Rattus norvegicus: one gene and its partners. The protein of the gene in region 3 interacts with the protein of the main gene of each other region in a biochemical or structural test. Links are inferred from orthologs where the notes say so. Each region holds a gene or a part of one and is shown on either strand. Other genes may lie near its edges.

Region 1 (4,168 bases), on a different chromosome or scaffold from region 3:
AAGTGCCTTCTATGCTTTAGATTACACTAAGAGCTGGGGAAGTGTGTCTTATCTCGTGCCAGCTGCCTTTCTGTAGCACAGCCAAATTCTCACACTTGGTGTAAGGGCAGCAGAGGAGAGTTAAGAATGGCAGGTAACAGACAACAGGGTCAATGAGTCAGAGACCGGCCCAGGAGAGGCTATGACCACCCAGGCTGTGAATCACCACACTGTAGGCTTCCCTCCCTGGGGCCCTTCATCCTTCCACGGTCCCCAACATATTTCTGCTTCCTCCCTTGACCCCTCCCCACCCTCCCAGCGCATGCCTGCCCCAGTGTCTATTCATGCGCAGAGACCTTTTCAATCAAGCCACCTTTAATGAGATTTGCCTTATAAATTAAAACGTATCTGGCAAAGAACAAGAGTGAGGATCCATACTGGCCTCCCCAAAGTGTCCTCACTCTGACCAGTGGACCTCTCCCACAGGCCTAGTCAGTCCAGCAGCCTTGTTTCTTCTACTCCCACAACTTCCGGGGACTGGTCATCACTTGACTCCTCTGGTCCCCCGGCCCCTCCCACCCTCAGGTTTCTCTGATCTTCAGTGCCACCACCCCATGGACCTCCTATCAGCAACTGTCTCAGGTGGAACCCTCTGACTTGACCCCCACCCTGTCATTCCCTACTCTAGAGAGTCCACAGTCCCATCTCCCTGGGGTCCCACTTTTCTGGACCTGGCTGTACAGAGCTGTATCTGAGCCTTTGCTGCCACTGCCAGCTGTGGTACCAGATTCAGGAAGGATCAAGCCCTGTGGCTTGGGGGCAGGGGTAGGCTTTGAGCTCCGAGGGGGTGGCACAGCGTAGTCGTCGGTGGCGGGGTTGTAAGGGAGCTCATAGCCCTCTTCCTTCAGCCGAGCCTGGCACCACCATGCATCCTTAGGCTCCTGAGGCAGATCATAAAGGCCCCGGAGAGGGGCAGGGGCCAGGCCCTCAGGCTCATCATAGATGGGGTCCTCTTTGGAGTCTATCAGCTTGGTTTTCAGCAACTGCTGCTGCACGTGCCCATACAAATCCCAATAGAGAGGTTTCTTCCGCTGCACCCCTTCCCCTGCCCCAGCAGGGGTGCTGCCCAGGGGGTCTGAATACAAAGAGTCCTGAGAAGGGCCTGGAGGAATTCGCAGGGAGTCTAAAGGCTCTGCATATAGGGCTGGAGGGCTGCCCAGGGGTTCCTGGGGAACAGGAGTGGGAGCCATCTTCCCCTCTGTCTCCCCATCATGGGAGTCAGTTCTGGTGATATCTTGTCCCTGTCCCACCTTTCCTTGGGCTTTCTGCTGCTGGATAGCAGCCTCAACTGCCTGAAAGATGTCATTTCCCTGGGCAGTCTGGAAGGTGAAGGTCCCAGGGCCAGAGGGGCAGCGGCGACCCGCTTCAAAGGAGAACATTACCTGAGGGTGTGGAGGGAAACAGGTTAGGAGTGTCTAAAGAAATGAGTCACAGGTCTGACCAATTTAGTATATCTGCACAGAAGAGACTACCTGGGAATGGAGTTGTCACCTACAGCTACCCAACCCAGTAGCCCTCCCCGATGGTCATCCTCCCAGACAGCCCCATGCACCTTGTCTCGGCCATAGCGTCGCAACAGAGTGTAGGGCCAGAAAAGGAGCGGCTCCAGGATTTGACTCTGTGCACCCAAAGTCAGAAGGGTCAGCTTCTCAGCTTCTACCCTCAGTACGTAGGAGCCTTGCAAGCCGCAGCGTTCAGAAGCCTCGGTCTTCTGCGAGGTTACCCAGAATTGGGATCCTGGAAGAACACAGGAAGAGAAGGAGCGCCGGGGCAGGTTGGGGACTTGGTAGACTCCAATCACTATCTCCCCAAGGGCACCTCTTCACCCCACTCCATTTCTGCCAGACTAATACCTTCCCAGGTGGGGCTGTACAGCGAATTCTCCAGCATCTCCAGGGCAGAAAACTTAGGTGGGTTCTCCGTCTGAGCCAAAGCCCAGCCGCCTTTCTGCAGAAAAGAGAACATCGAGGACCATATACATAATTCTCTTGGGTCTAGGGTAGGTGCAAGAAGTCCAATGCCGTTATAGTAGTTTCATCCTCGCAGTGCCCCTTAGGCCCAGGGGTGACCACCCCCAGACACTCACCGGAAAAGCGGTTCTGCATAAAATCTGCACCCAGGCAGTGCTGGATGCGGCGTCCGCTGCAAGCAGGTGCGAGCGTTGTGCGGTGTCCAGGCGGAAGGCAGAGGCGCCGGGCTCAGGGGGACTCTCCACAGTCACAGGCACCACGCTCACACATTCAGCCAGGCGTATCATCTTGCAGTCTAGACGGCGAGAGCCGCCTCGACCCCCTCCAGAGCTCGACCCCTTGTGATCAAAGAATTCCAGCCGCGCCACGCCGTGAGGGCTGGCTGGGTAAAGCACAGCCCAAGTTTTCTTCCACCTCTGGGAAAGAACGAAAGACTCGAGAGTGAGCGGCAGCATGCGCCCTACAAGGGAGAAGAGACCCACGCAGGCCGATCTGAGTCTGGGGATTCCCAGGCTGGGCTACTTTCCCAAAGATAATGCCATCCCAAATCCGCACCAAGGAGGGCACAGCCCGAGACTTTCAAGGGAACGAACGTCTTAGGGGCTCTACGATTGCTCGCGCGCCGTTCCGACCTTCTTCCGGCCCATTCCCTCTTTCTGGATTCTTTCACCCATTTCTAGTCCAGGGGAGTTTTGCCATCCCCCCACGACACAAACAAACTACCTTGGTCCCGAAGCGCTGACTCTGCAGAAAAAGCGGACCCTCCATCAAAGCCCCGTCCATGGCCAAGGCGATTCCTTCCGCGCTTCCTGGCCCTGGGGGCGGGGCTGGGCGGGGCTGCAGGGTGCCGGAGGCGTGTCCGCCCCTCCCGGGCCCCTGCGGCGGTGATGCGGGGAGGGGGGGCGGGGACGGAGGGGTCGAAGGAAAACGAGCCGTCAGGAAGAACCCAAGGGGAGCCTTTATCTCACCGCACGCACAGTGGCACTACTCAGGGAAGTCGCGGTCACCAACTAAAGGCCCTAGTGCCTGGGGGTGGAAGCTGGGAGTGACGACATATATTTAACGTGACATCAGAGTGAAGGCCGTGACATCACCTGCAGGGACTTTGGGGTCGCCATAATGACCAAGAGGGCCCTCAGGACATTAGTTTTCTTTGTGGGACCTTGTTCCCATGGTCCAGCTCTGGAATTGGACTGGTCTGTTGATACTCTGTCTAGCTGGAGATGTGGAGAAACGGCTACGGGCTGAAAAGCTTCCTGCGGCCACAGGGGCCATCCTGCTGTCCCGAAACCATTTGCAAGTCCAGCATCCTGAACGCCGCTGCCTGGCCTCCCAACCTGCGGGAAAAGAAAGCTTCATTGAGCCCGGAGGAGTGGGAGGGGGTGGCGTGGCTGCAGCCAGCTCCACAGGGGAGGGGAAGATCTAGAGGAGGGAACTGGCCTGGCCCGAATGGAGGGAGAAAGCGGAATGTGGGAGGGCTCTAGAGGACGTAGGAGGGACCAACGAAGAGGGGGGAGGAAGGGGGGGTCCAGTCTCCCCTGGCCGAACACTTTTTTTCTGAGAAGTCCTGAAAGTAATCTCCAGGACCAGGACTCTGCTTCCAGCCTCTGGAGTTCTGCCTAGTCGAAGGTAGGGGAGTTACAGCCGGCCAGCGGGAAGAGGAGTTGTGGATGGAGAGGATGGTGGACCAGGGGAAAGGCTGATTTGGGATGGAGTCGGGGAAGCCAACCAACTGACAGTTTTATTCTTGCTAAAGGAGCGAAACAGCAAAGCAGAGAGCTGAGCGGATTGTTGGGGATGGAGACTTCAGGGTGCAGTTTGTAGGCCCTAAGCTGAACACCGGGCTTCGGAGCCAAATGCCCCCAGAACAAAGCTGTCTTGTCTGAGTTGGGGGAAGCAATTCAGGGCCCCCCTTACTGGGAAGGACTGTTTTCAGCCTTGGATACAGAAGGCCTGAGCTAAGGAGCTAGCCCTAGCTTCTGGTTGCCCAGTGACAGAAAGAGAGGTGTTACAGGGAGCTTGGATAACTCCACACCAAACCCTGCCCAGCTTGAAGTCTAGATCTCCTGGAGCCCCTGACTCTGCAGCATATTTGGGAGCCCATGTGCTAGGGAGGGTGGCAGAAGGTTCTCCTGCTCTGCTTAGCCTCAGCCCTTTCT
Region 2 (3,992 bases), on a different chromosome or scaffold from region 3:
CTGACCCACTAACTCTGTCCTTTTTACATATTTCACAATCCTTGTGCACCACTTCTTTAGCCAGTATTTTCTCCCTCCCTCTTTTGGTTTTTCAAGAAGGATTACTCTGCATGGCCCTGGCTATCCTGCCTCTTGAGTGCTGGGATTCTTGTGTGGCCACCACTCCCAGCCTCTAGCCAGCATCATTTCAGCCCCTAGTTTCTTCTTCCCCACCCGTCTTTTCTCTGTTCCCCAACTCACCGGATCCCCACCAGACGCGAATGAGATAGATTGCATGTGATGGTTGGCAATGATCTGATGAGGGCAGGGTGGAGAAGGAAGGAATGGTAAAGGTCAGGCAGCCTCAGGGCTCCACGTGAACCCACCCCAGCATAGAACCTTGGAGCCCCGGGATCATTCTCTTGGCCTTTTACCCTGCATTCTCCTAATTTCTTTCTTCTTTTGGTGGGGTGAGGCACAAGGTCTCACTATGTAGCCCTGACTAGAACTCAGATTCCTCTGCCTTGGCCTCCTGGGTGCTAGGATAAAAGGTATCACTATACTCAACCTTCCTAACTTCTTCCTCTTCTACTCTCCAGTTCTTCCTGAAGACTGCAAGTTTTTGGCCTCCAATCCCCACTTGATGCTCCCATAACTAACTATCCCTGGTTCCTTCGAGCAGCCTACCCACCTGTTTGCAGTCTGCTGCCATGAGGTTAAGGCTGCTGGTAGACACAGTGAGAGTGATCGGCATTCCAGCAAACTTCAGGTTACTCCTTCCCAGGATAGAGCTGAGTGGGCGGCTGCAGGGCTAGGAAGGGCCCAGAGTCTCAGAATCTGAGTTTTCCCAGCATAAGGAAATACTCACCTTCTCCCGACACGCCCTGCACATGCCTTCCCCTGCCTCCAATCACCCAGCCCCAACACCAACCACACATACCTTTCTCCTCCTCATCGCCCCTTTGGCACCAGGCACAGCTTCACACACCAAACTGATAGCCTCCCTGGAGAAACAGGAGTACTCAGACCCACCATGGGCCTCCCCCTGGCTAGGGCTGCCACAGAGCTGGGGGAAGGGAAGACCAGGCCAGATTCCCAGAGCACTCCAGGCTCTTTGTCGTGGTGGATTGAATTAAGGGCCTTTAATATTTGATGACACTGAGGGGCCGCTTCCTGGCTGATTGGGTTAGGGCCTCAATGGCTGCAGCTCCACCTCTTCCCAGCTCCCGAATGTTCCATCTCCTTCCCTAAAGCATCAGCAACCTCCTACCCCTGCTGCCTTTTCTAGTCCATCTTCCCACAGTCTCCAAGGCTGGATAGTTAGGTGAGGTGGTGCTCCACACCAGAGCTGGCTCCTTCCAGTCAGAACTACTTCTGTAACTTTCAGTTCTCTGACCACCCACGAGAAATCGCCATCAGCACCACCACCAAATGCCCAACTTCCTCCTCTCCCTGGCTGAGATTTCTGTAACTTCAATCCCCACTAACCTGGTGACCTGAGTCCGGGTATTGAAGTCAAGGGCTCGCATTGACTGTAAGACCTCCACGCAACCCATGTACTGTAGGGGAAGGAGGGAAGAATGGATCAGCTGTCCCCATCCCCCACCCCACACTTGCCAGCCCTTTGCAGAAGGTTCTAGGGCTTTGCCTTATCCCTAAGGAAAGTAAAGGTGAAGTAGCTTTCCTACTGCCTGGGGCTACCACCCCATAGGTGTACTGTGAAGGGGAAAGGGGAAAGAGGAAAGAAAGACCGCAAAGAGGAACTTCATGCACCACAGAGACATTATGAGAGGAGTAGCAGGTATTGGGTAGGATGGAGTGACATCTCTGGAAAAAGGAGGAGTCTAAAGGGAAGAATCAAGAAGTCATTTTCATTCAACTTTTACCAAAAGCCTCTGATGTGCTTGAGCATTGTGTAAACTGGGGAGTGGGGACCAAAGGAGGAAAGGCAGAAGATTCGCAGGCTAAATTAAGGGCAGAGAACTGGAGAAGGAATGCACCAGGTTTAAGAACTAAGAGAATGGCACAGATGTTCCAGGGGGAAGAGCAGGAAGTCCCGACAAATCTGGAGGAACTGGAAGGGGTATGGGGAGAGTAGAAAAGGGGATATGCACTCACCCGAACCAAGTAGGAAACCCCAGGTCCCATGACTTTGTCGTTGGGATGCAGCCAGCCTCGTGTGGGCTTATTGACAAAGCTCCCGTGTCTGGTCCACTCCTCGCCCCCCAGCTGGCCCCCTTCTACCCGAGTCCTGCGCCCGCCGCCTCCACTCAGCTTGTTCATGTCCTGGAGGAGGGGCAAGAGGCCTGAGTCCCGAAGGGCTGCTCCTGCACTCCCTTCCCCATCTTCTGCAGCTTTTCCTGGCTCCCCTTTAGGTCCCAGGCGCCCCCCAGCAGGATTGGCCAGCTTCAAGTTGCTCATCCGGGGAAAGAAGGAACACAGGGTAGTCGGGCTATCGTCCCCCGGCAGAGGAGGCAGAATGGGTCCCAGGGATGAGGCTGATGGGGAAGGCAGCTCCTCCGGTGGAGTAGACCCTGAAGCCCCCTCCTCCAGCGATGACAGAGACTCATTCCGAAGTGGGTTGTACTTCGGCTTGGGGGGTAGAAGATCCATGGCTGGGGTGAGAAGGGGGGCTGCTGCCCGGCCCGGCCCCCCTGCCAATTCAGGCAAGGGGGCCAGGCAGGGGGCATCCCCAGACCCTTAGCCTAGTCTGACCTCGGCAGCCGGGTGATAACAGAGGACCTGGGGAGGCGAAGGACAAGTGACCTCTGCTCTCCCAACTCAGACCTAGACAGTTTCAAACCACATCCTGGCCCAGCCCAGCTAGGAAACCTCGTCTGGCTGAGGAGTACAGGCTGGACCCAGAGCTGACTGGCTCCTCCCCAGGGGCGGGGAACTAAGGAGAGAAACCAATCCCCAGGACAGTGCTGACTCACAGGCTCAGAGGGGTTGAGACACCTCCCCACATAATTTGTGTTAGCCAGGCCACTCTCCCCAGCCCAATACAAACAACTAGTGATCTGTCTGGGAAGGAGGAGGTGCCGGGCAAGAAAGAAAGGAAGAATAAGCAAAAGAGAAAAAAGAAAGGAAGGAGTTAAGGAAAACTCTGGACCAATCCAAACAGACCTGGGCAAGCCAAAGAGAGCAGGAAGACCGGGAAGACTGGGAGGGATAGGAAGGAAACAGAAGCTGCTGGGCGGGGAGTGGGGGGAGGGAAGTTGTCCCTCAGAGTTTAGCATTTCCTTTCCAGACCCGGCTGAAGACGTGAATCCCTCACCCCCTAGCCCAGACCACCCCCACCCCCACCATACAGTGAGTGAGGTGGTAGCTCCAGGGAACCTGGGCCATTAGCATCCACCCCAACAGCTGAGGACCAGAGTTGAGAACCAGGAAGGGAAGTAGTCCCAGTGGATGTACTGCGAGGCCCAGAGGAAAGACAAAGCTGAAATAGGAATAAAGGCTAATTCGGGTGGTGCATCTGGGAGCTACCAGACAAGAGCTAGAGCAAGGCTGTTTCTACAAGTCACCAAGGACCAACAGACTTGGGGGTGGGGGTGCTCTTCCAGAGGCCTAGTGAGGAAAGCCCCCAGAGGATATAGAGATCTGGCCACCCCTTAGACCTACAGATATACTTTTACGCCTTATAGGCTACACACCCCACCAGACAGTGTACTTCACACTAGTAGAGGAGTTGGCCTTGGAGGTAGGAGAAAGAAACACACAGAACTGGTGCCTACAAGCCACAAAGGGATAATAGGGCCATAAACAAATCTGTGTTAATAAAGACAGGAAGGAGAAAGGGATATCAGAAGCTGGAATCTGGCCATAAGTGCATAATAATACCAAACCCCTATTTCTTTGCCCACAGTTTCCTGCCACAGCTCTGCTGAAGGCCATTCAGGAAGTTAAAGAAAGTGACCAATCAAAATAGCTCCGGATTAAACTATAGCTTTATTCACTTTTTAAAAAGTAACCAAACACAAGAAGTAAAAGGTACTTTTTTGTTTGTCTGG
Region 3 (3,500 bases):
CAACCTGTACCCACTCCCTGTGTGAAAACCGAGGCCAGAGGGAAGCCACCTCTGGATCACTCAGTCTTCCTCAAGTACCACGGTAACTTTAATTCCTGCTATCTCCTCCACTGAAAGGCTCTCCCCTCCCCATCCCGTGCACCAAACTCAGATTCACTCTCCAATACCCAGCTCAAATAATACCCTCGAAGCTGAGTTCTGCCAGCCACAGGGGTGCTCAAGCATACCTTTTGTGGTCTCACTCTCCCTCACGAGGAAGGTCCCTCTGGGGTTCTCGGCGTTGAGAAGTAGCCGCTCTGATTCCCGTCTAGTGATCTTGCCAAAGTACCACCTGGAGTGGGAGGGACAAGTGTGTCTGTTGACCAGGGTTCGCTGCCCACAATGCTGGCCCTGGGTACTGGGGTTTCAGGGTAGCCAACCTGCTGCCCACTCAGGCCCACAAAGGACCCTGTACTAGGGGTGGCAGTGGCAGCAGACCATAGCCGAACAACATACTCACTCCTCAGCCTGGATGGAGTCGGAGGGCGCCACATAGTTACTGGGGATGTAACCGGTCTGTCCGGTGCTCAGCGAGTGTGCCAGCCACCAGTCTCCCTCTCTGAGCAGAAGGGAGGGAGCAAAAAATGATGTCACCGGGGGAGCAGGGTCGGTGACCCTGACTTCCCCAGGTGCATGGCCAGGTTCTGTAGCAAGGGAAGCAGGGGCAGCCTGTGTACACAGCAAGCCAGCAGGAACTGGCCTGGAACCTCTACTTCCCAGACACACTGACCCAGAGGGATGGCGCCTAAAACCTCAGCAGAACTGAGCCCCATCCCACCCAAGACTGAACTGTCCAGAAGTGCACAGCGGCCTGCAGGTGCCAAGGGCTGCCTTAGGAGAGAGGAAGCTCCCTGTTGCGGGGAGGAGAAGGGAGAAGCAAGGTTTACATGAGACAGATGCCAGATTAGACCTTCAAAGTCTCCCCAAGCCCTGAGAGCCCTAACGCCCAATGGAGACAAGGGCTAGCCCGTCTGGCCCAGCAATAATTCAGTCCCATCCCTTCAAACAAGCAATGCTTGCCCCTGTCCCAAATCACAGCTCACTCCTAAAAGTCCTTAACAGAACTACAGGCCTCCTCCTGCAGCCTACCCCTGTCTGTGGGGAAAGTGAAGCCAGAGAGAACTGGGCCATGCCCAAAGTCACACAGCAAGTCACGGGAACAGAGGTGGCTGAGCCCAGTGCTCAGGACCCTCTACACTAACTGCCCCAGGAAGAGGGGGGAGGGAGGTGGGAGGAGGGCAAGAAGGAGGAGGGATCCCAGCAGGGCTCGGGCTCTGGGCCTGGGCAGGAGGGGGAAGGGCAGAAGTACCTTTGCAGCCATCTGAATGTGAACCAGGTCTGGCTGGAGCAGGGGTCCAGAGACAGAGGAGGGAGGAGCAAGCGAGAGCCCGACAGGAGAGAAGAGGCAGAGATGGGGGTGGTGAGAGGCCGTGATGGGGGGGGGGGGGCAAGGGAGAGAGAGCGAGAGAGCCAGGCAGTGCTGGGGACACTGGGAATGGGGTGTAGGGGGCAGCCAGAGACCTCACATCCAAAGCAACCAAAGGGGACGGGGAGAAGGTTGGATGTTTGAGGGAAGATCAGAGGGCAAGGCCTGGGAGCTAGGGTCCAGCCCTTCCCACACCCCCTGTACAGACGGAAAGACAGGGTGGAGAAGCAAAGGGCTCTGTGCAAGGTCACACAGCCAGGCCAGGTGCCTCCCTGTGGGTACCATGAGGCTCAATGACTCTGCAGCTCTTCATGCAAGGCTTGGGGAGTAGACAAGATGAGGGTCAAATTATTCAGCTGGTGGCCTTGGCCCTGCCTTGATCCTGAGAAGATTACACAGCATCCCACCCTGGTCCAGAGACAGAAAGGTCCTGGCCTTGAGTCACACAGTCCCAACTTGACGGCACTGGAGGTCTGAGCACGTGTTTGCCCAGCTTCACAGATGGAGAAGTTGAGGCCAGGAGCAAGCTGAGCTGGAGGAGCTTGAAGGAAAGGCTGGAGGCGGGCGGGGAGAGCATCAGACTCTGTCTTGGCCAATGCTGGGCCAGAGGGGTCCCTTCTAAATGGACATGCGCAGTGAAGAGGGTGTGAGTGGAGTCATGAGGGACACAGACACAGGCAAGGTGCAAGCTCACCCAGCACCCAAAGGTCCACCCTTGCTTAGCACACATTTCCGTCCGGCTTGACCTCAGACACCATCCAACAAGGAAGAAGGCAAGCCCCCCCCCCCCCCCCCCGGGGCTGGGGATTTAGCTCAGTGGTAGAGCGCTTACCTAGGAAGCGCAAGGCCCTGGGTTCGGTCCCCAGCTCCGAAAAAAAGAACCAAAAAAAAAAAAAAAAAAAGAAGGCAAGGCCCCCACCCTAGCTGAGGAAACTATATTTGAGAGAGGTGGAAAACCCAGTCACTCTACTAAGAGAGACCAGTGTTTTCTTTATAGAGTAGAGGAAACTGAGGCACAGAGGAGGAGATGATTTGCCCAAAGCCACACGCATAGTCAATGGCAGAGAGAGGCTGAAATCAGGGGTCCCTAATGTCCACAGCCAAATGCAAGTTCTCCAAATCTCCAGAAGCCAGGGGACAAGAGACAGGGAGACAGGAGGACTGGGACAGAAGACAGGCTTGTACCAGGATGGGACCCAGGTTTGACATCAGAGACCACAGAATGAGGTGGCCAAACTATAGCCAGAGCTAGCAAAACAGCCTGACATCAGCCCACGGGTCCCTAGGGGTTCACTGGCCTGTTTGGGGGATACCTCTCCAAGAAAATGAACAGAGAAGTATCCCACTGCTCCCGCCCCCATCTGAAGCCTGAGCTCCCTCGCTGGCTCCCAGAAGGTCAAAGGTCAGTGTACAGACCAACATGGAGCAGGTGCTAATACGCATAAAACTGTTGCTATCACAAGAGCTAAACAGGAAGGAAGCACTAAAACCACAGCTCCTAGTGTGCCTGCCTGTACTGCCCCGGCCCCCCAGAGCTGAGTAGTTCCTGGAGAAACACTGTGTGACCTTGAACAAATAGCATGCCCTCTCTGGGCATGTGCTCACATTTATAAAGGAGGCAATATTTAGTCTCTAGCAAGTAGAGTGTGGACATAGCTTCAGGCTGGGGTAGGGATGACCACCTAGGCTTCAGTGGACCTATGCCTCGGGTAGCCAGGGACTGGCTGGCCAGGGGTCTGGCACTCTCCCATGATAGGGGCCCCAGCATCTCAGCTAGGAAGAGGTGCCAGGCCAAGATGACCTGAGAGTAATGACATTTACCGCCAGGCAGAACTGTTTGACACCTGAACTTTTCTGAGCCTGGGTAGAGCAGGGGTTGGTCAGGAAGTCCCAGCAGCAGCCCTGTGGCCCAATCCACCACCCCGGGGCCTCCAGTGGATAAGACTCCTTTGTGACTGACTCTAACTGCCTGGCTGCACAGGTCCCCACCATTCTAAAAGGCAACAAAGAGGGAGAAAGAAACTGTACCCCAAAG
Region 4 (4,127 bases), on a different chromosome or scaffold from region 3:
AGAAGGGAAAACAGTGGTCAGGGAAGTCCCCAAAGGAGGTGGATTTCCCACTCCCAGCACCAAAGGTAAACAGGTGGTGCCAGGGTGCAGCTGGGGCTGTCACCTCACCATTGACTTCCGAGATAGTCAGATTATAGTCAGCTGCCTCCTTCTTATGTTGTACGAGCTGTGACTTCACTTCAGAGGCACTGAAAGTGCCCTCCCGGAAAATCACAGTCGATGCTACCACCACCGAGCCTGACCTGGTCGCAGGAAATAGGGGGCTCAGATCGACTCTCTGCTTATAGCTCAGCATCCCCACCCCACCCGCCACACCCCCATCCCGGACATCACAAAGTTGCGGGACTGTCCATCCCTCCCACAGGGCAAATCCAGAATTATACCTGAACTTGATAGTAGAGACCCCCAGAAAGTCTCCGTTAAAAACCTGCAGAAACTGGGATAGGAGGAGAAGACTCGGGTTTGATGTAAAAGATTCGTGTGGTCCCGAAGAGCTATATCAGGGCAGCATGGCCGAGACCAGGCTGATACCCACCAATCCGGAAATGTTCCTCTTCAGTTCTTGGTAGTAGCGGGAGCTGGGGTCTTCCAGGGAAGAATTAAATGGGTGGTTCCGAATGTAAAAAGACAACGAGAAGAAGGAGACCCCGACAGACAACTGGGGTGAGCTGTTACTGGAGAAGGTAGGGAAGACCGCTGTGCTGTAGTAAGAGCTGCTGCTAACAGTACTGTGGCTGGAGATGGCGGGGATGGTGGGAGAGATGGGCTGCTGACTTGGAACTGAAGACTGAGTGTCATTGCGGACTGGAGTTGTGGCCACCGCAGAGGTATCATGGGCTGGACTGGTGGCTAAGCCCAACACAGAACTGGTAGTTCGCACCAAGGAGCCATTGTGGTCTGGGGTGATAGCTGACGTAGCCGTGGTAGAAGAGAATGGGGTGCCACTGTACACTGGAGTGGTGGCCATGTCTGATTCAGAGCTATTAGTTGTAGCTGAGGAACCACTGTACACCGGACTGGTGGCTGAGCTCAATGCAGACCAGGTAGTTGGGACCATGATGCCATTGTGGGTTGGAGTGCTAGCTAAGTCTGATACAGCCTTGGTGGTTTGGGTGGAAGCACCGCTGAGGACTGCAGTGCTGGAGGAGTCCCCTGGAGGGCTGGTGGCTGGGGACGAGGTGCCACTGTGGATTGCAGTGCTGGAGGAGTCCAATATAGGGCTGGTGGCTGGGGACGAGGTGCCACTGGTGACTGCAGTGCTGGTGGAGTCCTCTGGAGGGCTGGTGGCTGGGGACGAGGTGCCACTGGTGACTGCAGTGCTGGTGGAGTCCTCTGGAGGGCTGGTGGCTGGGGACGAGGTGCCACTGAGGACTGCAGTGCTGGAGGAGTCCAATATAGGGCTGGTGGCTGGGGACGAGGTGCCACTGGTGACTGCAGTGCTGGAGGAGTCCCCTGGAGGGCTGGTGGCTGGGGACGAGGTGCCACTGGTGACTGCAGTGCTGGAGGAGTCCTCTGGAGGGCTGGTGGCTGAGGAAGAGGTGCCACTGGTGACTGCAGTGCTGGTGGAGTCCCCTGGAGAGCTGGTGGCTGGGAACGAGGTGCTACTATGAACTGGGGAGGTGGTGGAGTCCACTGGAGGGCTGGTGGCTGAGGAAGAGGCACCATTGGGGACTGCAGTGCTGGAGGAGTCCCCTGGAGGGCTGGTGGCTGGATCTGAGTCACCACTGAGGACTGCAGTGCTGGTGGAGTCTCCTGGAGGGCTGGTGGCTGGGAACGAGGTGCTACTATGAACTGGAGAGGTGGTGGAGTCCACTGGAGGGCTGGTGGCTGAGGAAGAGGCACCACTGGGGACTGCAGTGCTGAAGGAGTCCCCTGGAAGGCTGGTGGTTGAGGAGGAGGCACCACTGCGGACTGGAGTGATAGTCGATGTTAAGGAAACTGCTGGTGTCCTGAGATAAGGTGACACTATTTTTCTGACTTGGAAGGGCAGGAAAACCTGAGCCAGAGTGGAAGATGAGGGGGTTTCATGCTCACAGCACCAATCAACAGAGTTGGACACTGGGTTGCTTTAGATAGCATGTGTGATGTTTTAGTTCTGGCTAGAGCCAGAGTTTAAAAAAAAAAGGGGGGGGGGAAACCTACTGGGTTAATGAATAAAATCAGAGCAAGAAGAAAAATATAAACTCCGAAACCAAAGTAACCCCGGAAGGAAGGGGGGTCAGGTTAACATCAGGTAGTCCTACGTTTGCCTTCATCCTTCCTGACAGCCTCCCTCCTCAAAGGTCTCACCTCTGCTTCTGGCTCATTCACTCCTCTACTGCTTATCTCTGAGACAGGTATTCATACTGTACCCTAGGCTGGCCTTGAACTCTCTGTGAACCCGAGTGTCCTGAGTGTGGGAATTGTAGACTGGAACCACACGGCCCCATTCTTCCACTCCGGAGCTGGAGCTGCTTCTCCTGACGCAGCCTCTCTTCTCTACTCCCCACGAAGAGCATTTGCCTACTCTGGTGCCCACTCTCTTGGGGGAGTCACCTCTTCTCAGCCTCCTTCCTTAGCCTCTTTCCCTCCGGCACATACTGGGCCATCCCTGAGTGGATGGCCACTTATGACTCTCATTGTGCCAGAAAGACTGAGTCCCACCTGAACAGTGCAGCCCCTCCCCACCTTGTACCTCTCACCTTTTAGGCTTGCTAGAAGTAGCAGCAGGAGGAGAGGAACCCGTATGCCCGGGGTCATGGTGGTGGTGAACAGGCGGGAAAGGGGTAGAAACAGACTCAAGGCTGGCGCTGCGTGTGTGCGCTGGAACAGGGCTGGTGCCTGCTGCTTTATACCAGTCCCCCTCCCGCCCTAGGCACAGTCAGAGCAGGTGACAGGTAACAAAACTCCACCCCCTCCCCTATTCTTTCCTCCTCCTCCCCAGTCATTCCTGTGTAGGGTACTTGGGCTCCAATCACTCAACCATATGACAACCTGTTTATTCTCCATTTGGCCTCCCACTTTTACCAACCACTCTTTGAGTACCCCAGGTGTGTATGTGGAGGAAATCTGGGGGCCCTGGCTCTGGTTTTAGTCCCAGAGCAACAGCCAAGAAGAGTAAGGGAAACACAGAAAGACCCTGGACAACAAGGGAAGCCCGTTTCCCGCTCCCCCTCCCCGATCCCTTTTCCTATTCTCTCTGAGGATCCTTAAAAACCACTTCTCATAAGTTGAGAGGACATAAGGGGGATAATAGTGGACAGGTCGCTAGTTTTAGCGCCCCCCCCCCCCGCCACTTCCCGGAACAGCCCCACCCTTCTAACCGCTCCCTGTACTCTGAAAACCACAGTCCCCGCCCCTGCCAGACTTTCCAGTAGCCTGGGTCTCTCTTTGACTTTCTCCGGAGAAAGGCGATGGGGGAAATTTCCACTTAAAAAGGACGAAACTCCAGGCTCCACTGAAGCCTAAGGTCCTTCCTACTCAACCCTCCACCTTGAGTGGCAGGCTGACCAGTCCTTCTACCCGGAAACGCCTGCCCTCTAGTGGTCACCGCGAGCGTCGCGCGGCGTACTCGCACAGGCTGAAGGGTTGCTTCTGTGTAGGGAGGTTTTGGAAGCACAGCCCAAGTTGAGGCACATATCTTAGGGAAGTTAGTTGTGTCTTGGCGGAAAGAATCAACGCCTTCGACAGATAAAAATGCACAGTGTCGGGAAGAAGCAGGGATCATTACTTGGGTTACTCTGACTTCTGGGGATGGTGTTTGGGGACAGGGGATAAGTGGTTGGAGCCCCAAGGTATGTGGAAGGGGGTATCGAGTTGTGTGATGACACTGAATTGGCAAAGGGGGACGGGACAGGTTATGTACAGGTAGCTAGATATTCAGGAGGCAAAGAGTAGGTGGGGCGATCGTGGAACTTGGGAACTTCGAGATGTATCTGGAAGAGGAACAATATTTGGGGCGAACAAGCACGTGGAACAAGGCAAACCCGTGTGTGTGTGTGTGTGTGTGTGTGTGTGTGTGTGTGTGTGTGTGTGTGTGTGTGTGTGTGTGTGTGTTTAGGGAGAACCGAGAGGTATTCTGACGGGCAGAAATAGTTGGGTTTGGGTGAACAAGCACGTGGAACAAGGCAAACCCGTGTGTGTGTGTG

The links. The genes of interacting proteins can lie anywhere in the genome.
Region 1: the proteins of Src (region 3) and Dok1 form a complex in vitro, tested with the Homo sapiens proteins (2 studies listed by BioGRID, with this or other methods). The link is inferred for Rattus norvegicus from reciprocal best matches to the Homo sapiens genes SRC and DOK1.
Region 2: of the proteins of Src (region 3) and Shc1, one has a biochemical effect on the other in vitro, tested with the Homo sapiens proteins (4 studies listed by BioGRID and IntAct, with this or other methods). The link is inferred for Rattus norvegicus from reciprocal best matches to the Homo sapiens genes SRC and SHC1.
Region 4: the proteins of Src (region 3) and Muc1 form a complex in vitro, tested with the Homo sapiens proteins (2 studies listed by BioGRID, with this or other methods). The link is inferred for Rattus norvegicus from reciprocal best matches to the Homo sapiens genes SRC and MUC1.

What each region holds. Positions count from the first base shown.
Region 1 is NC_086022.1:117,094,835-117,099,002, forward strand, and holds Dok1 (docking protein 1), read right to left. Parts: upstream 2,801-4,168; 5' UTR 2,793-2,800; coding exon 2,733-2,792; intron 2,714-2,732; exon of another isoform or gene 2,565-2,713; intron 2,470-2,564; exon of another isoform or gene 2,465-2,469; coding exon of another isoform or gene 2,426-2,464; coding exon 2,126-2,425; intron 1,987-2,125; coding exon 1,893-1,986; intron 1,777-1,892; coding exon 1,592-1,776; intron 1,422-1,591; coding exon 618-1,421; 3' UTR 337-617; downstream 1-336. UniProt on the Homo sapiens protein: DOK proteins are enzymatically inert adaptor or scaffolding proteins. They provide a docking platform for the assembly of multimolecular signaling complexes. DOK1 appears to be a negative regulator of the insulin signaling pathway.
Region 2 is NC_086020.1:177,137,356-177,141,347, reverse strand, and holds the start of Shc1 (SHC-transforming protein 1), read right to left. Parts: upstream 2,801-3,992; 5' UTR 2,593-2,800; coding exon 2,098-2,592; intron 1,539-2,097; coding exon 1,468-1,538; intron 984-1,467; coding exon 920-983; intron 791-919; coding exon 671-790; intron 295-670; coding exon 241-294; intron 1-240. UniProt on the Homo sapiens protein: Signaling adapter that couples activated growth factor receptors to signaling pathways. Participates in a signaling cascade initiated by activated KIT and KITLG/SCF.
Region 3 is NC_086021.1:166,547,688-166,551,187, reverse strand, and holds part of Src (proto-oncogene tyrosine-protein kinase Src), read right to left. Parts: intron 599-3,500; coding exon 500-598; intron 332-499; coding exon 228-331; intron 1-227. UniProt on the Homo sapiens protein: Non-receptor protein tyrosine kinase which is activated following engagement of many different classes of cellular receptors including immune response receptors, integrins and other adhesion receptors, receptor protein tyrosine kinases, G protein-coupled receptors as well as cytokine receptors.
Region 4 is NC_086020.1:176,932,423-176,936,549, reverse strand, and holds the start of Muc1 (mucin-1 precursor), read right to left. Parts: upstream 2,801-4,127; 5' UTR 2,740-2,800; coding exon 2,682-2,739; intron 1,912-2,681; coding exon 536-1,911; intron 437-535; coding exon 384-436; intron 243-383; coding exon 109-242; intron 1-108. UniProt on the Homo sapiens protein: The alpha subunit has cell adhesive properties. Can act both as an adhesion and an anti-adhesion protein. May provide a protective layer on epithelial cells against bacterial and enzyme attack.